Linked DNA regions of Canis lupus familiaris. Each later gene encodes a partner of the first gene's protein in a complex. Links are inferred from orthologs where the notes say so. Each region holds a gene or a part of one and is shown in the gene's direction. Other genes may lie near its edges. The genes, in order: TAF3, TAF9, TAF5, TAF13, TAF7 and TAF11.

What was found.
Region 2: TAF3 (region 1) and TAF9 share a complex: the UniProt entries of both Homo sapiens proteins name them as parts of the TFIID basal transcription factor complex. The link is inferred for Canis lupus familiaris from reciprocal best matches to the Homo sapiens genes TAF3 and TAF9.
Region 3: TAF3 (region 1) and TAF5 share a complex: the UniProt entries of both Homo sapiens proteins name them as parts of the TFIID basal transcription factor complex. The link is inferred for Canis lupus familiaris from reciprocal best matches to the Homo sapiens genes TAF3 and TAF5.
Region 4: TAF3 (region 1) and TAF13 share a complex: the UniProt entries of both Homo sapiens proteins name them as parts of the TFIID basal transcription factor complex. The link is inferred for Canis lupus familiaris from reciprocal best matches to the Homo sapiens genes TAF3 and TAF13.
Region 5: TAF3 (region 1) and TAF7 share a complex: the UniProt entries of both Homo sapiens proteins name them as parts of the TFIID basal transcription factor complex. The link is inferred for Canis lupus familiaris from reciprocal best matches to the Homo sapiens genes TAF3 and TAF7.
Region 6: TAF3 (region 1) and TAF11 share a complex: the UniProt entries of both Homo sapiens proteins name them as parts of the TFIID basal transcription factor complex. The link is inferred for Canis lupus familiaris from reciprocal best matches to the Homo sapiens genes TAF3 and TAF11.

Annotation. Positions count from the first base shown.
Region 1 is NC_049223.1:27,342,896-27,347,346, reverse strand, and holds the start of TAF3 (transcription initiation factor TFIID subunit 3), read left to right. Parts: upstream 1-1,461; 5' UTR 1,462-1,660; coding exon 1,661-1,826; intron 1,827-4,451. UniProt on the Homo sapiens protein: The TFIID basal transcription factor complex plays a major role in the initiation of RNA polymerase II (Pol II)-dependent transcription.
Region 2 is NC_049257.1:19,523,736-19,526,642, reverse strand, and holds TAF9 (transcription initiation factor TFIID subunit 9), read left to right. Parts: upstream 1-1,189; 5' UTR 1,190-1,317; coding exon 1,318-2,115; 3' UTR 2,116-2,254; downstream 2,255-2,907. UniProt on the Homo sapiens protein: The TFIID basal transcription factor complex plays a major role in the initiation of RNA polymerase II (Pol II)-dependent transcription.
Region 3 is NC_049249.1:15,937,483-15,941,695, forward strand, and holds the start of TAF5 (transcription initiation factor TFIID subunit 5), read left to right. Parts: upstream 1-1,308; 5' UTR 1,309-1,328; coding exon 1,329-1,890; intron 1,891-4,213. UniProt on the Homo sapiens protein: The TFIID basal transcription factor complex plays a major role in the initiation of RNA polymerase II (Pol II)-dependent transcription.
Region 4 is NC_049227.1:43,170,181-43,174,344, forward strand, and holds the start of TAF13 (transcription initiation factor TFIID subunit 13), read left to right. Parts: upstream 1-1,346; 5' UTR 1,347-1,402; coding exon 1,403-1,429; intron 1,430-2,281; coding exon 2,282-2,360; intron 2,361-4,164. UniProt on the Homo sapiens protein: The TFIID basal transcription factor complex plays a major role in the initiation of RNA polymerase II (Pol II)-dependent transcription.
Region 5 is NC_049223.1:35,442,188-35,446,345, reverse strand, and holds TAF7 (transcription initiation factor TFIID subunit 7), read left to right. Parts: upstream 1-1,268; 5' UTR 1,269-2,018; coding exon 2,019-3,068; 3' UTR 3,069-3,592; downstream 3,593-4,158. UniProt on the Homo sapiens protein: The TFIID basal transcription factor complex plays a major role in the initiation of RNA polymerase II (Pol II)-dependent transcription.
Region 6 is NC_049233.1:4,267,038-4,269,538, reverse strand, and holds part of TAF11 (transcription initiation factor TFIID subunit 11), read left to right. Parts: intron 1-401; exon of another isoform or gene 402-464; coding exon 465-613; exon of another isoform or gene 614-2,247; coding exon 2,248-2,335; exon of another isoform or gene 2,336-2,501. UniProt on the Homo sapiens protein: The TFIID basal transcription factor complex plays a major role in the initiation of RNA polymerase II (Pol II)-dependent transcription.

The DNA of each region.
Region 1 (4,451 bases):
AGGAAGAAAGGAGACAGGCAAGAAGGAAGGAAGGAAGCAAGCAAGCTGGGAGGCAAGAAGGAAGGAAGAAAGGAAGCAAGAAGGAAGGAAGGAAGCTGGAAGGAAGGAAGGAAGGAAGGAAGGGAGGAAGGAGGCAAGCAGGAAGCAAGCAAGCTGGCAGGCAAGAAGGAAGGAAGAAAGGAAGCAAGAAGGAAGGAAGGAAGCTGGCAGGCAGGCAGGAAGGAAGGAAGGAAGGAAAAAGGAAGGAAGGAAGGAAGCTGGCAAGCAGGAAGGAAAGAAGGAAGGAAGGAAGGAAGCAAGAAGGAAGGAAGGAAGCAAGCAAGCAAGCTGGGAGGCAAGAAGGAAGGAAGCAAGCAAGCTGGGAGGCAAGAAGGAAGGAAGGAAAGAAGGAAGGAAGGAGGGAAGGAAGGAAGGAAGGAAGGAAGCAAGCAGGGAGGCAAGCAGGAAGGAAGCAAGCAAGCAAGCTGGGAGGCAAGAAGGAAGGAAGAAAGGAAGCAAGAAGGAAGGAAGGAAGCTGGAAGGAAGGAAGGAAGGAAGGAAGGAAGGAAGGAAGGAAGGAAGGAAGGAAGGAAGGGAGGGAGGGAGGGAGGGAGGGGCAGGGAGGCAAGCAGGAAGGAAGGAAGGAAGGAAGCAGGGAGGCAAGGAGGAAGGAAGGAAGGAAGCAAGCAAGCAGGCAGATGGGCAGGAAGGCAGGTGGGCAGGTGGGCAGACGGGCAGTTGGGCAGGAAGCAGGCAGGCAGGCTCCTGACTCGGCGGGGGCACAAGGGACGTGCCTAAGCGACCCCCAGCTCAGCCCTCGCCGCAGGCCACCCACGGGCTGACTCCACCCAACACTTACGACCCGAGATACTTGCGACGACGCCCGGTCCTCGGCAGCCTGGGGGGATCCGAGGACAGCAGCTCCGCGTGCCCGCAGCTGCGCCGTCCGCTTCCGGTACTGGCTTTGCCCTGCGGGGCCGACTGGGGCGCACCGAACCCAGAGCTGGAGCAGAGGGGCGCCCTGAGGCCGGGGTCCGGGGGGCCTTCCCGGGGTCCCGCAGGCTCCGCCCCGCGCGGCCCCGACCCAGAACGGCCTGGGCGTGACGTAACCCCTGCAACCCGGGGCGGCGGCGGCGGCGGCGGCGGCGGCGGCGCGGGCGAGGCCGGCTCGGCGCGTCCCCGCGCGTCCCCGCGCGTCCCCGCGGCCCGAATCCCGCCCCCGCACTCACGGCCTGTCGCGCTCCCGCTGCAGCGGGCGGACTCGGGCCCCGGCCCCTGAGCGCCCGCCCGAGGGACCCCCGGGCACCTGCCTCCGCGCGCGCGCATCCTCCACCTGCGCCCCGCACCGCGCCGTCTCCGGCGCCCTCCCAGGCCCGACAGCCGCCGCCGAGAGCATCGCTCTGCCCCGGCAGGGCGGAGCTTGCGCACGGGCGCGCTCCGCCCTCGGCTAGTGCTGCCTGGCCCCGGCGGCCGTCCAGCGGGGGGCGGAGCGAGCCCAAAATGGCGGCTCTCAGGCTGGCGCGCTCCGTGCTGCTGGCGCTTTGAGGCGGTCGCCGGGGCTCGGGGGGCACGATTTCCCCGCCGCGGGGGCCCTAGAGGATGAATCGAGGGCTGTGCTAAGGTTAGGCGGTGCGGCTGGAGACAGTGGCAGCGAGGGCTGCGGTGGAGTCCACGGAGCGGGATGTGCGAGAGTTACTCCAGGTCGTTGTTGAGGGTCTCGGTGGCGCAGATCTGCCAGGCGCTGGGCTGGGACTCGGTGCAGCTGAGCGCCTGCCACCTCCTCACGGACGTGCTGCAGCGCTACCTGCAGCAGTTGGGACGGGGCTGCCACCGGTACTCTGAGCTGTGTGAGTACCGGGCCGGGAGCGGGAGGGCTGCCCCCGGACAGCGGCGAGTGACACCTCCGGTCCTCGCGCCTCTGCTCGGCGGCTCCAGGCTGCGGGTCCCCCCCGCCCCCGCCCCCGCCCCTCCCCCTTCCCTCCCCCTCCTCCTCCCCCTTCTCCTCCTCTTCTTCCTCCTCCTCCTCCTCCTCGACCCCGAGATCGGGCATTTTCTCGGACGCCCCCCGTTTTCCGCCGCCCCTGGCAGCTCCGGGGAGCCCCCCCGTCTCCGCGTCGCCCGCTCACTTGCCGCCGCCGCCGGGACCCCCCGGCCCCGCTCGCAGCTGCACGGCCCGCCCGCCTCGCCCGCCTCGCCTCCCGGTGGGAAACCTGCCTCGCTGCCCGCCCGCGCGTGCACGGCCACCGCCAGCTCCGACTTGGGTCCTCCCGCTCCCGTGCCTGCAAACTACTACAACTAGTTGTCACAGGCGCTCCGTCTACCGGCCGCTTCTTGCAGGGCCCCCCTGGCCACCCCTCAGCTCCCAGACCCCGCAGAACCCGCTGACAGCTCTGCCGCGCTGCGGACGCGGCCTCTTCTCTCCTGTGACCGGTCCGCGCCGTGCGGAGCGTGCAAGAGCATCGCGGCTCGCTCGCTCCCCGGAGGCCGACTCTGTCCAGCTCGCTTACACGGGCTTCCGCATACCCGTGGGGTTTTGCCTCTTTTTGGGTTTCTACCTCCGCGGTTATCAAAGCAGGTGGCTTGCGCTGCAAGTATTTATGGGCTTTTTTTTTTTTTTTTAAGATTTTTTATTTATTCATGAGAGACACACAGAGAGAGAGGCAGGGACACAGGCAGAGGGAGAAGCAGGCTCCATGCAGGGAGCCTGGTGCACGACTGGATCCCAGGACCCCGGGGTCATGCCCTGGGCTTGAAGGCAGATGCTCAACTGCTGAGCCACCACCCCCCCCCCCTCTCCCGGGGGTCCCCGTGTTGATGGTTTTTAAGTGAGCGTCCGGTAGTATCGACAGCTGATGGCATTCCATAATTCAGAGTATATTTGATAGGAACCACACATCACCCCAGGGATGTGAAGTAAGTGGGTGTGTGTATAGGGGGAACTACCATTCATTGAAATTTGAGGTCCATACTCCTAAGTTGCCTAAGCTGGAGAACTGGGTGAACAAATTATTGCCTCTCTTTCTCTTTCTTTCTTTTTCTTTCTTTCTTTCTTTCTTTCTTTCTTTCAGAAAGAGTAACTCTTTCTCTTCACTCTTTACTCTTTAGAGTAACTCTTCTCTAAAATCTAAGATTTTATTTATTTATTCATGAGAGACACAGAGTGAGAGAGGCAGAGACACAGGCAGAGGGAGAAGCAGGCCCCATGCAGGGAGCCCGACGTGAGACTCCATCCCAGGACCTCAGGATGACGAGCTGAGCCAAAGGCAGATGCTCAACCACTGAGCCACCCAGGTGCCCCTATTATTGCTTCTTTAAACTCATTCCTAGACCTGAAAATTGAGACCCACAGATGCCGTTTACTTCTTAGGCCCCCAATTCTGTACCAGCTTCTACAGTGCTGCCAAAATAATCTGTCGGTAAGGCACATCTGATCACGTTATTCTTTTCTTTTCTTTTAAGGACTTTATTTATTCATGAGAGACACACAGAGAGAGAGAGACAGAGACAGAGACACAGGCAGAGGGAGAAGCAGGCTCCATGCAGGGAGCCTGACATGGGACTCCATCCCGGGACTCCAGGATCATGCCCTGGGCTTGAAGGCAGCGATAAACCGCTGAGCCACTGGGGCTGCCCTGATCGTGTCATTCTTAAAAATATGTTAATTTGTACTCCATGGCTTACAGGCTGAAAATATGAACTCTTCCACAACACACATGGTTTTCTTTGTGAGCTTTCCCTTCCCTCCTGCTGTTCTTATTGCTACCATGCTGAGCTACCTGCCTTCTCCAAAACCTTTTAAACTATCTGTTCCTATATGGGTGCCATTTCGTAGAGTATCTTTCTTCACCCCCTGATCCACCAGTAGTCCTACTTCTATGTTGAGATTCACTTAAAGCACTTGATTTGGGCAACTCCTGTCATCTGCTCTCATAATTCTGTCCATATTCCTGTACGTTAACACCTTGTTTTGTAATCATTCTTGTCTATCATTCATCCTTTCTTTTCCCCAGGCAACAAATTTATTATATTTGTATTCTGTAACCTAGTATGGTGCCATAATATACTGGGCACCCAGGAGGTGGTTGCTGAATAAATGAATGAACTGATAACCTACTACTGTAATAGCTGTTTAGTCACCTGAGTTTTTGAGTTCCAAGATGTGAATTTTGGGATTGCTTGATTTCACTGATAACTTCTAACCTAAACGTGGTACGACAAAGTAACTCTCATTCATTGTTACCTTGAATACACCGCCAGCACCCTGCTGTCTTGGTTTTTGCTTCTTTTCTTTCCCTCCCCCTCTTTGTGGTCCTTGGGTATACTGTTACGTTATGCATAGTCTAGATTGTATTTTTGCTACCAAGTTCCCTAAATAAGGACAGATGTTCTGTATTTTTAGGTAATGAAAATATCCCCTGAATTCATAGTTACCTTTTCTGCCTTAGACACAGAACCAGAATAATGTGCTGGCA
Region 2 (2,907 bases), on another chromosome or scaffold:
TCCAAGTTGCTTTTCAAAAAGCTTTGAATTAAGTTTTAACTCTATGATTGAAGATCTTACTGTTATTCATGGTCGGTTCTCAGGAGTAATGATGTCCCAAAATAACAGCCTAGGACAGTGTTGTCCAATAAAAATATCATACAACTCATTAGGTAATTTAAAATCTTCTAGTAGACACATTTTTTAAAAAAGTAATAAACAGGGGAGTGTGGGTGGTGTAGTCCGTTAAGCATCTATCTGACTCTTGATTTCAGCTCAGGTCATGATCTCAGAGACATGAAATTGAACCTCACCTCGGGTTCTGTGCTGAGCACCAAGTCTGCTTGGGTTTCTCTCTGCCTCTCCTTCTGCCTCTCCCCTTGCACACTCGCGTGCTCTCTCTCTTTCTCTCTCAAATAAGTCTTTAAAAAAGTAATAAGTGAAATTAATTTTAATAATATATTTTATTGAACTCAATATATCCAAAATATATCTTTTCAAACTATATATTTAAAAATTATTGCTAAGGTTTTTTTTCTTCTTTATTCACATTCAGTTTCTGAAATCTAACATGTGTTTTACACTTTACATCTCCATTTGTTTTTGTTTCTGGTTTGTTTTTGTTTTGTTTTGTTTTGAGATTGTATTTATTCATGAGAGACACAGAGAGGCAGAGACGCAGACTCCCCACAAGGAGCCAGATGCAGGATTCAATCCTGGAACCAGGGATCATGCCCTGAGACAAAGGCAGATGCTCAGCCTCTGAGCCACCCAGGTGTCCCTCACATCTCCATTTGAACTAGGCACATTTCCAGTGCTCAGTAGCCAAGTGTGGCTTAGTGGCTACTGTATGGAATAGCACAGGTCTAGGAATTTGGCTATCTTCTTTGGAAGGTGGCAGGCGGTTACTTTTAAAAACATATCCTCATTTATGTCCCTTTGTTACCTTACTCTTTTTAATAAAAATGAAGCAGAAACAAAATTTAACTGACTAAAAAAGCCTCCTAGATAAGAGAATGGCTTACTAAATACTGTTTTACTGCTTCATATTTCTACCTGTTGAGTAACAATGTATAATGGGTGAAAAAAAAGACAACTTTAAAAGATACACTCCTTTATTCCAGCTTACTTGAACAGATCCTGGGGCTAGTTTTGTTTCTAGAATCTACATTATGTTACTGAATGCTAAACACCAGTGCAATGTTGCTCCCGAACATCCTGCTCACCGGTACCCCGGGGGTTGGAAAAACCACACTAGGCAAAGAACTTGCATCGAGATCAGGATTGAAATACATTAATGTGGGTGATTTAGCTCAAGAAGTCTGATCAACAGATATCATGGAGTCTGGCAAGATGGCTTCTCCCAAGAGCATGCCGAAAGATGCACAGATGATGGCACAAATCCTGAAGGATATGGGGATTACAGAATATGAACCAAGAGTTATAAATCAGATGTTGGAGTTTGCGTTCCGATATGTGACCACAATCCTAGATGATGCAAAAATTTATTCAAGCCATGCTAAGAAGGCTACTGTTGATGCAGACGATGTGCGGCTTGCCATTCAGTGTCGTGCTGATCAGTCTTTTACCTCTCCTCCCCCAAGAGATTTTTTATTGGATATTGCAAGGCAAAGAAATCAAACTCCTTTGCCGTTAATCAAGCCATATTCAGGCCCCAGGCTGCCACCTGATAGATATTGCTTGACGGCTCCAAACTATAGACTTAAGTCTTTACAAAAAAAGGCATCAACTTCTGCGGGAAGAATAACAGTTCCACGGTTAAGTGTTGGTTCTGTTACTAGCCGACCAAGTACTCCCACTCTTGGTACACCAACCCCACAAACCATGTCAGTGTCAACTAAAGTAGGGACTCCCATGTCCCTCACAGGGCAGAGGTTTACAGTACAGATGCCCACATCACAGTCCCCAACTGTAAAAGCATCAATTCCTGCCACATCCGCAGTTCAGAATGTTCTGATTAATCCATCATTAATTGGGTCCAAAAACATTCTTATCACTACAAACATGGTGTCATCACAAAATACTTCCAATGAATCATCAAATGCATTGAAAAGAAAACGAGAAGATGATGATGATGACGATGATGATGACGATGATGACTATGATAATTTGTAATCTAGCCTTGATGCTGTAACCTGTAAACTTGGTCTTAAATCCATTGTACTGAGATTAAACGTGCATGCTGGGTATTTTGAAGTTGTGTTGTAGAAAACTTAAATGGTATTTAATGAGTAAATATAGTTATCCTTTCCTATTGAATGTTGGGTTTTCTTTAATAGGATTAGTAATGGTTATTCATTAGCCTTTAAGTGTGAAAAATAAAATTGTTGTTCATCAAAAAAAAAAACAAAAAACACCAGTGCAAACATTCTCTTAAATTAATAAAAATTTCTTTTGTTGAGTCTTTAATGATGAAATGAACAGGAAAGAAGAAAAGCAAGAAATAGATTTGACTGTGCTATACTGATGAAAACCATGTTTTTCAATTTATTCTCACAATAAAAAGTATTTGATCTGAAATCCTATATAATCCCAGGATGCAACAATCCTTCTCTGTTGTATGGCAACTTCCTGCCATGCATAATTATTTTCCAAAAGCGTATCAGGTCAGAAATGAAGCAGAGAATGGGGGAAAGAGTCCATAGTGATCTTAGGCAGATTTTATTTTACTAGTAGGAATCAGTTGGATAGTTATTACCACCTGGCACTGCTAATGAGTCTAGTTGGGAAAACAAAGCAGCAAAGCATTCCACAGCAGACTGCACCGTGGTCCAGTTCTGGGGAGTCTTTTGGGGTCTGTTGAGCATCTGAAGATACATTTGAAGGTGTTTTGGCTGTTATAAAAATCAAATTCTTCATTCTTCAGTTTTAAAAGAAACCTTTTGCTTAGAAAGAATTACCAGTTGT
Region 3 (4,213 bases), on another chromosome or scaffold:
AGGCTCCATGCAGGAAGCCTGATGTGAGACTCGATCCTGGGACCCCAGTATAATGCCCTGAGCTGAAGGCAGACACTCAACCGCTGAGCCACCCAGGCGCCCCTCCCTCTGCCTGTGTCTCTGCCTCTCTCTCTCTCTCATGAATAAACAAATAAAATCTTTAAAATAAAATAAAATAAAAAGATTCAATATGCAGCAGGGTTGTATAACTTCTGAAGCATATTCCAAAATGGCACATACTATTTTAAAAAGTATGCAATTAAACACAGTTTAGAGACACCTGGGTGGTTCAGTAGTGGAGCATCTGTCTTTGGTTCAGGTTGTGATCCCGGGGTCCTGGGATAGAGTCCCACATCAGACTCCCCGCAGGGAGCCTACTTCTCCCTCTGCCTATGACTCGGTCTGTCTCTGTATCTCTCTTGAATAAATAAATAAAATCTTAAAACAACGCAGTTTGGGGCAGCCCGAGTGGCTCAGCGGTTTAGCGCCGCCTTCAGCCCAGGGCGTGATCCTGGAGACCCGGGATGGAGTCCGACGGCAGACTCTCTGCATAGAACCTGCTTCTCCCTCTGCCTGTGTCTTTGCCTCTCTCTCTCTCTGTCTCTCTCTGTGTCTCTCATGAATAAATAAATAAAATCTTTTAAAAAACCGCAGTTTATTTGTAATAAAGTTTAACAGCACGAATACAGAATGTACCCATTTCACAATGACAAAATTTAGATAATTTTACTGAATTATAACATACATGCTGTAAAGTTCACAAAACTCATACCTTTAGCTTGTTTCTTTTTTATGAAGGTAAAAATTAAAAAAAAAAAAAGTCACCACCACACAGATCAAAATATAAAACATTACCAGTATCTCAGAAGACTTCTTCTGGCTATGGGATATGCTTCTGAGTTAGAGACCTGGATTCGAATCTTGACGCTTTCACTTTCTTCCTGCGTGACTGTGGCAAGTAAGTTGTTTAACCTCTTTGGGTCCCGGTTGAGTCACCTGTAAAGAGAGGATAATACTGCCTTGTGAGATTGTTGAATTAAAGGAGGTCATACAATGTAAAATGTCTCTCACGGTGCCTAAAAATAGCGGGTCTGCAATAAATGGTAGTTATTACAGTCAAATGTTACAGGCGGTCGCCACCTCCCACTTCCTGCCTTTCTGTCACTCGCTTTCGAAAACTGCTCTCGCTCCTGTTCTTTTTCTCCTCCCTTCTCGCCCCTCCTACTGCCGTATAGTGCCTTCCCAATGTGTCGTAAAACGCTCCTCCCCGCCCTCCATGTGGTGAAAACGCAATCACGCTTGACGGCGCGAGGTGGCTCAGCCGCAAGATGGCGGCGCTGGCGGAGGAGCAGACGGAGGTGGCGGTCAAGTTAGAGCCAGAGGGACCGCCGACGCTGCTACCTCCGCAGGCGGGGGACGGCACTGGCGAGGGTGGCGGCGGCACTACCAACAACGGCCCCAACGGCGGCGGCGGGAACGTTGCGGCGGCGGCGTCGTCGGCCGGCGGGGATGGTGGGACCCCCAAACCCTCGGTGGCTGTCTCCGCCGTTGCTCCGGCGGGGGCGGCCCCGGTGCCCGCCGCTGCTCCGGAGGCCGGCGCCCCCCACGACCGACAGACTCTGCTGGCCGTGCTGCAGTTCCTGCGGCAGAGTAACCTCCGCGAGGCCGAAGAGGCGCTGCGCCGTGAGGCCCGGCTGCTGGAGGAAGCAGTGGCGGGCACCGGAGCCCCGGGAGAGGCGGACGGCGCCGGTACGGAGGCGGCTAGCGCGCTTCTCAGCCGGGTCACAGCCTCGGCCCCCGGCCCCGCGGCCCCTGACCCTCCGGGCACCGGCGCTTCAGGGGCCCCCGCCGTCTCGGGCTTAGCGACCGGTCCTCCGGCTCCCGGGAAAGGTGAGCCGCGGAGTCCCGGGGAGGCAGGGCGCGGAAGGGAGCAAGCCGGGAAGGCAGAGCCTGGCAGGCCTGCACCTCTGCGGGCTTGTTTTGAATTTCCTGGGCCCGCCTCTAGGGCCACATGCCCGCCCCTTTCTCTGGTGCGCCGGCTGCGCAGTCAAACCCTCTTCCAAGCTGTCAGTTCCAGTGAGAGGCTGAGGAGAGCAGTTGAGCAGTGGGATGTCTGGGGAGGGTGGGCGCCTAGAGGCGGGGACCTTCAGGCTTTCGGTCCCTTTCTTCTTTGGGGGGCTCTTAAGCTTTGGCAGGTCTGCATTAACACTATTTATACAGAACTGTGCTGTCTTCTTTAAGTAATTACTAAAAATACCTTATATATCCTAATTCTCACAATTCCACTCTGAGCTAGACATTACCTCTATAAGAAAACGGACTCGGAAAAGCCAAGAGACTCGCTTTGGACTGAATAGCCAGGGAGTGATGGAACATAGTGAAGCAGTATTTCTCAAACTATAGGCTATCACTAGTTAAACCTTTGGGGGAATGCAGATTTTTGCACATCACTTCAGACTTGGTGAATCAGATCGTGTAGAGGAATCTGTAGGAATCTCCTTTTTTTTTTTAAATTTTTTTTTCTTTACTCATAACAGACAGAAAGAGAGAGAGAGAGGCAGAGACAGAGGCACAGGGAGAAGCAGGCTCCATGCAGGGAGCCCGACGTGAGACTGGATCTCAGGTCTCCAGGGTCAGGCCCTGGCCTGAAGGCAGCACTAAACCGCTGGGCCACCTGGGCTGCCCAGGAATCTCCATTTTTGAATATATGCTTCTAAGGGGGTATTGATGTATGGCAACGTTTGAGAACTATTCATTTAGGAATATGTTTTGGACAAACCAGGGTTCAGACTCTCTATCTCTGTTGCTTTTACTTATGTGATGCTGATTCTTCCTGAGGTTGAGGTTGGGTTTTTGTTGTTGTTGTTGTTGTTGTTGTTGTTGTTTTTATTAAATGAATTATAGTGAGGCTCATCTATAATATATATAAAATGCCTGGCACTATTAAGTTTATGCCTAACACTTAACACCTGAGACCTCCCTTCCCAGCCTTTTCCTAGCAACTGTAGTTGCAAAGTCCACGCAGTAAAATTCATACACAGCATGAGGACTCAAAGGTGATCCTGAGGTGATAATAAACGTTTATTGAATGCAGTTATCCAGTGCAGAGCCTCTAGCCAAATAGATCTGTATTTATGTGAGACCTAGTCTTGTAGCATTGCCAGAAGTGAAGTGTGAATATGTATCCTTGTATCCCTTAAATAGAAATGTGCAAAAATGTGATTTAGAGGAATCTTTTCTGAATGCTAAACTTTGTGAATGAACTATAAGATGGATGAATTATGTTGGTTATTTTTCTATAATCTCTCATATTTTCAGAAACTTGACCTATTATAACTCAGAAACCAGTAAGGAGGAAAAGAGGCCATCTGAGTAACCAAAAGAACTTATAACATTTGTATAGTGAAGAATACAGAAGTATTATAATTGCAACTTAAAATTTTGCAACAATGAGACTGATTAGATTGGCAGGTGTATCATTGTTTGGTATTGCTTTATTACAAATAAATACTCATGTTTTTTTTTTCCCCCTTTTTAAAAAAGACTTTATTTATTCATGAGAGACACAGAGAGAGAGGCAGAGGGAGAAGCAGGCTCCATGCAGGGATCCCGATGTGGGACTCGATCCCAGGACTCCAGGATCACACCCTGGGCCAAAGGCAGGCGCTAAATCGCTGAGCCACCTAGGGATCCCCAAATACTCATGTTTTCTGCCTTGGAATGGTATTTATGGAGATTATTTTAAGCATGTAAATTGAGTTATCTTTTGAAAACATGAATAAGGCTCATCCTTCCCACCCTTGAAATGCTTGCATTTTATAAGGAGTGATAGATATATACATATCCTGCAGAATAGGATGTGTTACAAGAAAGTTATAATACTCAGTTCAGAGATCTGAGAATGTTACTTCAGGGCAGCGCTTGGTAGCCATGGGTGCCATTTACACTGAACCTTGAGAGAAGGTTAACATAGTTGTTTGATTTGCACATACCATGTATTATGAAATTTGTCTTTGAAGTAGCTGCAGGAAAAATATTGAACCTTTTTGTTACTGATTTGAAAATTTTATTTTAAGATATGGATAAGCTGAAGGAGTTTTGGATGGGTGACTGAAACGAAGTGAAAATCCCATTATAAGATTGTGTGATTGTGTGGGGGAGAGAGTTTGAGAGGAGAGAGGCAAACATCTAAGAAACAGTTTCCCTCTGGACG
Region 4 (4,164 bases), on another chromosome or scaffold:
TATATATTTTGTTATCCCACAGTTTCATTCCTAGAAAATGTGAGTTAAAAGCTTAAGACAGGGGATCCCTGGGTGGCTCAGCGGTTAGCGCCTGCCTTTGGCCCAGGGCATGATCCTGGAGTTCCGGGATCGAGTCCCACCTCGGGCTCCCTGCATGGAGCCTGCTTCTCCCTCTGCCTGTGTCTCTGCTTCTCTCTCTCTCTATCTCTCATGAATAAATAAATAAAATCTTTAAAAAAACATAAGACATGTTTAGTATCTAAACAAAGTTAGGTTCTAGGCTCAGATAATTATAGGTTTTTCATTCACATGAATGTTTAGCAGGGCATTCAGAAATATTGTGGGACAACTTCTCCTTGTGTGGCATCATGCCTTGCATTGCAGAACATTTGATATCCCTAGCTTTAGCTTTCTAACGCCAGTGGTTTTCTTCATTGTTCTGATCACAAAATTCCCCACAAATATTTAATCCTCAGTTTAAGGGGGTGATGTTTTCCTCTTAAAAACTAGCGGCGAAGGAAAACATACCCAATAATCAGTGTAGTGCTTGGCAATTAATAATAGTGTAACTAGGGATCCCTGGGTGGCGCAGCGGTTTGGCGCCTGCCTTTGGCCCAGGGCGCGATCCTGGAGACCCGGGATCGAATCCCACGTCGGGCTCCCGGCGCATGGAGCCTGCTTCTCCCTCTGCCTCTCTCTCTCTCTGTGTGTGTGTGAGACTATCATAAATTTAAAAAAAAGAGTGTAACTAGGGCAGCCCCGGTGGCTCAGCGGTTTAGCGCCACCTTTGGTCCAGGGCCTGATCCTGGAGACCGGGGATCGAGTCCCATGTCGGGCTCCCCGCAGAGAGCCTGCTTCTCCCTCTGCCTGTGCCTCTGTCTCTGTCTCTCTCTCTCATGAATAAATAAATTAAATCTTAAAAAAATAATAATAGTGTAACTATAGGTTGTTAAAATTGTGTAAACACACTCTTCGGGCATCCCAAGGACCACTGGCACCCCAGTGATACGTAGCTTCACAGCCCCGAATCAGGGAGCGGTGATTCCATACGTAGAAGCCAATTCAGGGCCACAACATACACACTGCCCAGTCTACGATTTCCTTTTCTTTCCTAATACGTAATCAATCCGTGATCTTGATCACAGAACCTGCGGCTCATCCCCCTGTCCGCTTGCACCTGCCGTTAAGTCTCCGCGCGACCTCCTCGCGGGTTGGCCGACTAGGCCCCGCCCCGCCCGGCTCGGCCCCGCCCCCTCCCCGCCCTCCCGGCTCGGCCCCGCCCCCGCCCCTCCCGGCTAGGCCCCGCCCCTCCCCGCCCCTCCCGGCGCGTCACCGGAAGTGAGGCAGAGGAACTAGTGAAGCGGCTGCAAGCGAGGCTGCGGCTTCTAGGCTGGCCGGCGGCATGGCCGACGAGGAGGAAGACCCTGCTGTGAGTGACCGCCGCCGTTCCCACCCACCCGTTTCTTCATTCCCTGGGGGACAGGAGCGGAGCCTGAGTTCAGATTCACCTTAGCCAGTACACTGGAGAGAGTTCGGAGACTTCACGCCCAGCTAGCCTTTCCCTTCGGGTTCATCTCTTAGTACGTGGGGCAGGACGTGAAGAGTAGGACGGTGGCTGCTTGCTTGCTTCTGCTTGCTTTTGCTTTTGGTGTCTGTTTGCTGGACACTCCGAATCGCCTGGAAAGCCATCCGAGGACAATGCTAATTGTTTGTTAGCGCGCTTTATGAACCGATACTGCAGCTGATAACAAAACTATGTGCTTACTGTAGAGTTGTGGGAAAATAATGGACCGAAAATCAGGGAACCTGGATTTCAAAACCTCTTTTATCTCTGAGCCAGTTTCTTAACTTTGAGCCTTTGTTTACATGTCAAAAAATGGGGTTCAGGCTTATTGGAGGGAAGTTCCTAGTCCTGTGTAAGCGATGCTTAGTAAATACTAGTTTGCTTACTTTGATTCAGTACCAATTCTTAATAGTAAAAACTGTAGTAATAGACTAACTAGTTGGTTTAAAAAAAAAAAAACGTATGGTCATCATAACTTCCAGGAGAGGCAGTAGGATTATTTGTTAGGGACATCGTAGAAGCCATTCCTGCGTAAGTGGAAAGTTGGACTGGATAGTCATTAAGGTTCTTAAAACGCTGAGATTTCATGATTTTTTGCTGCTTGCTTTAGGCTTTCTGGCACAATATCAGTGTTAGAAATGAAAAAAAAATTAAACGTTAATTATTTAATAATCAAATGCAGCACTTGACATTTCACATATACGTTTTAATTTGTAGTTTGAGGAAGAAAATGAAGAAATTGGAGGAGGTGCAGAAGGCGGACAGGGTAAAAGGAAGAGACTTTTTTCTAAAGAATGTAAGTAATATTTGACAATGATTCAATTACAGAGAATAAAAACTTTTTTTTTTTTTTAAAAGATTTTACTTATTTATTCATGAGAGACACACAGAGAGAGGCAGAGGTAGAAGCAGGCTCCATGCAGGGAGCCGGATGTGGGACTTAATCCTGGGACTTCAGGATCATGCCCTGGGCCAAAGGCAGGCGCTAAACGGCTGAACCACCCAGGGATCCCGACAATAAAAACTTTTAGACATGTTTATTCAAAGTAGATTAATGTTCTCTGTGGGAACAATATTCTCAGACTTGCCCATAAAACGTGTTTAACTTCTGAATCAAATAGTAGTGATCCTAACCCCAATTTGTGTGTGTGTGTAGGTGGGTGGGCGTGTATATGCACTTTTCTTTTTAATTGAAGAAATGTGATCAGTGTTTCAATTCAGGGCCAAAAAACATACCTCCATTACTTTTTGTGTCCCTTACTATTGCAGCAGAACTCCTAGACTACAAGTCTAAGGTTATGATGGATCCTGGAACAGGTACTGATGGTAGGAATTAAGTTGGGCCTTCGGACTAAAGCATTGGACAAGACAGAAAGGTGATGAGTAGTGTAAGACAGTACAGTGGCATAGAGATTGTAATGTATTGGTTCTCTAGTGTATTCCCTCAATAGATAGGCTTGACTCTTTTTGGCAGCAGCAAGAGGGAGAGCTGCTGTTCCTAGTGACAGTCAAAGCTAGTCCCTGAAAGGCACTGTGAGAATGTGCTCTCCATCCTGTGTCTTTTACACGTAGTTATGGCTGAGTAGTGACAAAGGAGGCAGCACATGAATATATGGTTTATTTATGCTGGGTCGGACTGAATGATTCCCAAATGCTCTTGAAACTGCAGTCGGTATATATTTATATTTTTTTAATGACTCAAATCCTCCATATCTCAATGTCTCACCTAAAGTTGACCACTCCTTAATCCATCTTTGATACTCTTTATTCTGTTTTTATTTCTTATATCAGCGTAAGAAGGGGATTTCCACGGCAGAGCATCCCAGACTGATGTTTGCATTGTCACTTCTTAGCAGAAATGTTTGTTCTGCTTGGCTTGTTTTATTTTTGTGATGATAAGAGTTTGGAATATTCACAGCCTTCTCCTTGTCTTACTTTAATCTTGTATAATTTATTGGCTGACATCTGTTATCCGAAACTTTGTTTTTTTTTTATTTTTTTTTATTTTTATTTTTTTTAAATTTTTCTTTTTTTTTTTAATTTTCATTTATTTATGATAGTCACACACACAGAGAGAGAGGCAGAGACACAGGCAGAGGGAGAAGCAGGCTCCATGCACCAGGAGCCCGACGTGGGATTCGATCCCGGGTCTCCAGGATTGCGCCCTGGGCCAAAGGCAGGCGCCAAACCGCTGCGCCACCCAGGGATCCCTTGTTTTTTTTTTAATTGCTACTTTATAACACAAAGTTTCAAATAATTCACTGGTATTTGTGTCTTTACAAACCCTTTAACCAAATGCAGTTAACATATATACTGGTGAATTATGCTCATCAAAATGTTAATGACAAAGTATCTTCCTCAAATATTTAAGGAAAAATAGTAAGCTTGCAATGGAGAATCCTGGCAGACAAGTAATGTCTAAAGTATTAGCTGATGATCAAAGTCAACATCACCAGTAATGTATAACATCATGTACCTCCAATATGATGCATTAAGAGGGCACCTCACCTGTATGGTACCCTTTCTAGTAATGAGTACCCACAGTCTAATCATGAGAAAACACCAGAGAAACTCAAATTGGAGAACATTCTACACCATCA
Region 5 (4,158 bases), about 8.1 Mb from region 1:
CCACTCACAATTGGCACTGCCCTTGGCTAGAGAGAAAATATATATAAAGTAGCTCTGTCTCATTTTAGAATGTATTGTCTCTCACAAATTATTTATTATGGGAAACAGACTATATGTCATTTCTAAATGAATCAACTTTCATTCAATTAGCAAATATTTTTTTGTGTTTCCCATGTTTTGGTAATAGGTCCTGGGACACCATGAACAGGGATATCAAAAACTCCCTGATTATCACAGAGCTTCCAATCTGGTGCAAGAGAAACAGTCAAGTACCTAAACAAAACGAATTCTGAAAGTGTTAATCACATTTTAAGTGAGTTTGCTTAAATTTAGATGAAGTTGTTCATATTTTAGAAGACAGAAACAAAATTTTAATGACCTTGATGCTTAACCAAACTGATCCTATTAAAAAATAAATGGAAATGAATAGGAGCAAATGTAAACTGTTACATATTTAGGCCTAAACACTACAAAACATGCAAATGAGTACCTCACTACCCGTAGAAGTGACAAGCAGAAAACAGTTTCAAAAGAGTAGATGTGGAATGAAAAAAAAAATCCTAACTTAAAAAGTACAGGCAAATGCGTGACAGGGAGTAATACTTCAATTTTATTCTACTTCAATCAGACCGTTTGTCAGACAATTATGTTCTAAACGAATATATGCCTCCAGAAGAACACTCGCTTCTTTGTTTACATTTAGATCTACGTCAAACATATTAAAAAGAGGAATAACTCATGTACCCTTGTGGTTTTTCAAAAAAGAAAGAGTCCCTAAGGCATGGGTCCCCTCCAGGCATTTTCCATAATTAACAAAACATATACTTAGAATGATATAGTGGTCAGCATGTCCTTCTCACTCCACTGATTTGAGTAGTTTAAAATCCACTGTTATATATATAACAATTATAGTTAACTATAATTCTTGTATCTGCTCCAGAATGGATATACCGTGGGGAGCATCCGAGATGTTCCAAAAGGCAAAGACGATTTCTGCACGGACGCCCTGTTTCCGGAAATCACTCAGAAGCCTAGGAGATAACCGGACCACGGCGACCAATAAATGTTCTGGCTTAGCGGAGCGGGAAAGGTGAACGCGAGGGCCAATGTCTTCGCTGCAATGTTTGTCTGTAAATATTTTCAAACCAACAGCTCTTTATGAAACATTTATCGTTTTCTCGCGTAAAGTCAAATCATCGCGAGAGGACAAGTCCCCGGATAATGTAATTGCGCCTGCGCGCGCTGGGGCAGCCCGGACTTCCGCTTTAATCGTGCTGTCACTCATAGCCGCCCCACGGTGTGACGTAGTGCTTTCTTCTCCGCTAGGTCTGCAGCTCCGGACTGAGATCCCCCGAGCTGCGGAGCTGCCGAGTCTGGCGCTGCGGATCTCGGCGAGATTTCGCACTGCCCGCCGTCGGCATTTCATTGATAATCGGTAGCGGATCACTTTCCTAAGACCTGGGAAGAACAAAGGAATAAAGAAGGAGACGCTCGGCTCCTGGCCGTCTTGCTCGGAGTGGCTGCCTCTTCCGCTCGCTCCTATCCGGAGAAGCTGGGCTTATAATCGTCACTGGATTGTAAGTACCCAAGGCGAAGAAAGCTCACTGCGTTCTGCTTTTTGAATACCTTTGTTCCGGGAGAGAGTGTAAAATGGGAGTGTCTGCTGGGCCTTACTTTTTGTGTCGAAAATCATTTCGCAGAAGCCGCCATTTGCTTTCCTGCTAGGTAGCTCGGTCTGCATTGTCCGGCAGCGGCATCTAGAGGTTGGAACTTGAATTGCAGCTAATAGTTTTAAATGGACTTAATTGATTAGTGTCCCTAACGACTGGTATTTCAATCACAGCAGATTTATAAAGACTTGGGCCTTAATTCACAGTAGACGCTTAGCTCCTATTCTGCTTAAAACTTTTGTAATTAAGGATTTCAGTTCATAACAAACTGGCCTCCACCTGTTGTCAGTAGCTGGAACTTAAAGTGCAACAAGTGGTGGTTGAGAAGTGAGTCTCAAAGAAGGAAAGATGAGTAAGAGCAAAGATGATGCTCCTCACGAACTGGAGAGCCAGTTTATTTTACGGCTACCTCCGGAATATGCCTCTACTGTGAGACGGGCAGTACAGTCTGGTCATGTCAATCTGAAGGACAGACTGACAATTGAGTTACACCCTGATGGACGTCACGGAATCGTCAGAGTGGACCGGGTTCCATTGGCCTCCAAATTGGTAGATCTGCCATGTGTTATGGAAAGCCTGAAAACCATTGATAAAAAAACTTTTTACAAGACAGCTGATATATGTCAGATGCTTGTCTCCACAGTTGATGGTGATCTCTATCCTCCTGTGGAGGAACCAGTTGCTACTACTGATCCCAAAGCAAGCAAGAAAAAGGATAAGGACAAAGAGAAGAAGTTTATATGGAACCATGGAATTACTCTGCCTCTAAAAAATGTCAGAAAGAGAAGGTTTCGGAAGACAGCAAAGAAGAAGTATATTGAATCTCCAGATGTGGAGAAGGAAGTGAAGCGGTTGCTAAGTACAGATGCTGAAGCTGTGAGTACTCGTTGGGAGATAATTGCTGAAGATGAAACAAAAGAAACAGAAAATCAAGGCCTTGATATATCTTCTCCAGGAATGTCTGGTCACAGGCAGGGCCATGACTCATTAGAACATGATGAGCTTCGGGAGATATTCAATGACCTCAGTAGCAGCAGTGAAGATGAAGATGAGACGCAGCATCAAGATGAAGAAGATATAAACATCATTGACACTGAGGAAGATCTGGAAAGACAGCTACAGGAGAAGCTGAATGAATCAGATGAACAGCACCAAGAAAATGAGGGGACCAACCAACTGGTTATGGGAATTCAGAAACAGATTGATAATATGAAAGGCAAACTACAAGAGACCCAGGATAGGGCAAAACGACAGGAGGATCTCATTATGAAAGTCGAAAACCTGGCTCTCAAGAATAGATTTCAGGCCGTGCTGGATGAACTCAAACAAAAGGAAGACCGAGAAAGGGAGCAGCTCAGCTCTTTGCAGGAAGAGCTAGAATCACTCCTGGAGAAGTGAAAAGAGCTCTCGTATTTAATTTCATTCCTAAGACTGCTTTCATTCCTTAGCATTGAAAGAAGAATCTTGGCTTCATCACACCTGGACTAGATATAACTGCAGTAGTTCTCATTTTCTTCACTGTTATCTACTGAATTTGTCTTACAAATATGTGAATTGCTATCTTGTTTGTCAGAACCACTTTGCTCTGTGTCCTGTAGAAAGTAAGAATGTATAGACAGATAAGTGATTGTAGGAAAATTGTAGGCTCAGTGGAATGAACAGTGTAACCTTAGTAATTAAAACTTTACTGAAGGATTTTGCTGCTGTTTCTCCATTTGCCAGAGTGGCTGTTCCTTCTCTGTGATGCCATCAGAAATCAGTAAGCAGAGTCTAGTGTGCAGGCAGTGATGTTGGTTTGCATGTTTTCCCATGAAGTAGTAGCTATTTTCCCAGGTATTCAAAGCGTTCTTATGTATGTAGGGTTATAAACCATTTCAAAAAGTTGTTTTAACAATAAATAAAAGCAACTAATTTTCACCTCATGATGTGTCTTGCTCTTTAAGGGGTAGTGGGTATCAGGTCCTCTGGTGAGGTGGTCTCTTGGTGGGGTTTAATGACTGATTTGATCCTGTTTTGTAGGGAAAGAAGTTATGTTGAGTTTTAAGAAAACACAGTAGGGTCAAAAAGATTGGGAAATCTGTCTTTGCTTTATGTTAACTTTCCAACCCACCTGTTACATATGTAGGTTAAGAAAATACTGCGTACAGAACCTTCCTAAACTATCCTAACTTTTGTACATGAAGGTCTATTTTTGTCTTTTTTTTTTTTTTTAAAGCACTACACTCATCTTGTTAAAATAGTAGAAACAAAGCAAAGGCTCTTACGTACTGTTCACGTAATCAACCCATTGTTTTGGATTGATTGCATTTCTAAATATTTTCAACTTCCATTCCTGCAATTATTTAATAGTATGTACAGAACTCAGGTGATATGTCCATGTTCGTCAAAATTGTTCAAAAGGAAGTCATCACTATAGTGGGATATTTCAAAGTTTCTTTAAAATTTTTCATATATTCTTAAGATTCCAATGTAATGCCTTGGCACGAGC
Region 6 (2,501 bases), on another chromosome or scaffold:
AAATTTCCAAATCCAAAGAAACACTGTTTTGATGAGAAGGTGCCTCCTTTTTAATGTTCTTTCCAGATGGAATCATCAGCAATAAAGAGTTCTATAGATTTAGAGGCAGAAGAGCTGGCTGGTTGGAGAGGACTTTTCTGACATCCCCTCTAAAGAATGAGGTCAGGAAAGTGGGCTCAAGGAGGCAGAGTGGTTTTCATGATCTTTGGCACATCGTTTCTTTTGTAAATACATACTAGAGCTATGTTCATAGCTAAACTGGAAAACTGGATTACACAGCTGAGCTATAAACTTCTCTAGGAGAGAGAGTGTGTCTTACGTATGATGGCACAGCCAGGGCTTGGGACCAAAAAACTACTGAATAATAAGTTTGTTGTGTTGTAATGTGAATGAACTCTTACCTTGCCCAAGTCTGGAATGTAGGCTTGAATATATATGTAATAGGGTTTCTTTCATCTTTTCAGCTCAAGAATCAGGACATCTCAGATTTAACAGCAGTTGAAAGGGAAGACTCCTCTTTGCTTACTCCTGCAGCCAAAAAAATAAAAATAGATACCAAAGAAAAGAAAGAGAAGAAGCAAAAAGTGGATGAAGATGAGATTCAAAAGATGCAGTAAGTCACTTTGTGATTTTTTTTCCCCATTCCAAGGCTCTACTTTGACCACACAAAGTTAATAAGTTTCTTTGGCCTTTAAATTTTTTTTACTTTTTTATATTCAAAAGAAAATAAAGCAAATATCCTATGTTACATTTTAGGAAATATAAGTAAAAAGAAAGATATCACTTTATTACCAGAGATAAACACTGTTCATATTTTGGTATATAGTCTCCAAGATATTTTCTATACATACATATCTAGAATTTTTTTCAAAGATACTACTATTTGTAACCTGTTTTTCATATTATATATGGTGAATGTTTTCCATATCAGTAATTATATATCTAGGTCATAATTTTCTTTACTTGGAAGTAGCTTCATTGTAGTGTTTTGGGGTTGTTTTCTTTTTAAGATTTTATTTTTAAGTAATCTCTACACCCAACATGGGGCTCAAACCCACAAGCCCTAGATCAAGAGTCACACACTCCCCTGGGCTGAGCCAGCCAGGCACCCCTCATTGTGTTTTCTGATTATAAAAGTAGTATGGGCTCGTTGGAAATTATTCAGAGAATACAGAAAAATGGAAAAAATAATTACCTATAATCCTACCACCCAGAGTAACCCCGGATATATATTTGATTATATACTTCTTCAGATTTGGGGGTTTTGGTTGTTGTTGTTGTTTTCAGATTTTTTTTTTTTTTTCAGATTTGTTTTTAATGTTTGATATGTGTAGCTAAATATTTTCCTGTCAGTAAATATGCCCATAAATCCTCAGTTGCAATGGCTTCGTTATATTCCATTATGCAGATAAATAACCCCTATAGTTCCTTTTTTTTCTTTTGACAACATTATGACGAGTATCTTTGAGCACATCCTTCACATACTTGTCCATCTATTTCCTAAATAAACTCCTAGAAGTGAATTGCCAGTTCAAACAGTATGAATATTTTCAAATATTCCTCATACACATTTCCAAATTCTTCTCCAGAAAGGTTGTTCACTTCACACTCTACCAGCAGGTATGAGTTTTTTTATCCTCCCATTCTTACTAATACTGTGCTTTATAATACTTGTCTGATTCATGAAAATGTTATTTTATTAATTTTAATTTCTTTAGTTAATAATGAAGGTTAATTTTTCTTCTGTATTGGCCATTGGTATTTTTGCAAATTCCCTATTCATGTCATTTGCTCGTTTTCTAAATTAATATAGCCATCTTTTCATTTATTTGAAAGTATTAATCATTTTCCATATATTTTACAAATATTTTCCCCCAAATCTAACTACTGGTTTGAATATAAATTTATGTATCAAATGTTTACCATCAATGTGTAGTAAAGGTATAGAGTTACAAGGAGAGAGCAAAGTGCTGAAAATACAATCTAGATAGTATATTATATAGTGACCCAACATTGTTATTCAAGTTTTTATGCTTAATGAAGTAGAAAGGAAGTTGTATTTTCACTTTTTTCTCAAGTTCCTTAAGAATAAAAATATTTTATCTTCATTCCTTGTATGCACAAAGCCTAATGCTATTGACCCCTTGAAAATTCACTAATTGTCCGAAACTTGCTTTTATTGATGTAATAATATATCTTAAGCATTCATTCTTGTAAGCCACTTTAATTACCTGAATCTTTGTCTAGAATCCTGGTTTCTTCTTTTTCGGAGGAGCAGCTGAACCGTTATGAAATGTATCGCCGGTCAGCTTTCCCTAAGGCAGCCATTAAAAGGGTAAGAATGGACTACCACACTTCATTTCCATCAAATATGAGAGCTGAACTAAATGCATGAGCTATGTCCATTGGCATTTTGAGTGAGGTGTTAGTCAAACGGGTGGATCATTCATGCAGGAAAATAAAAGTAACATGCCCCTCAATTATGAATTGGGAGTTTTATA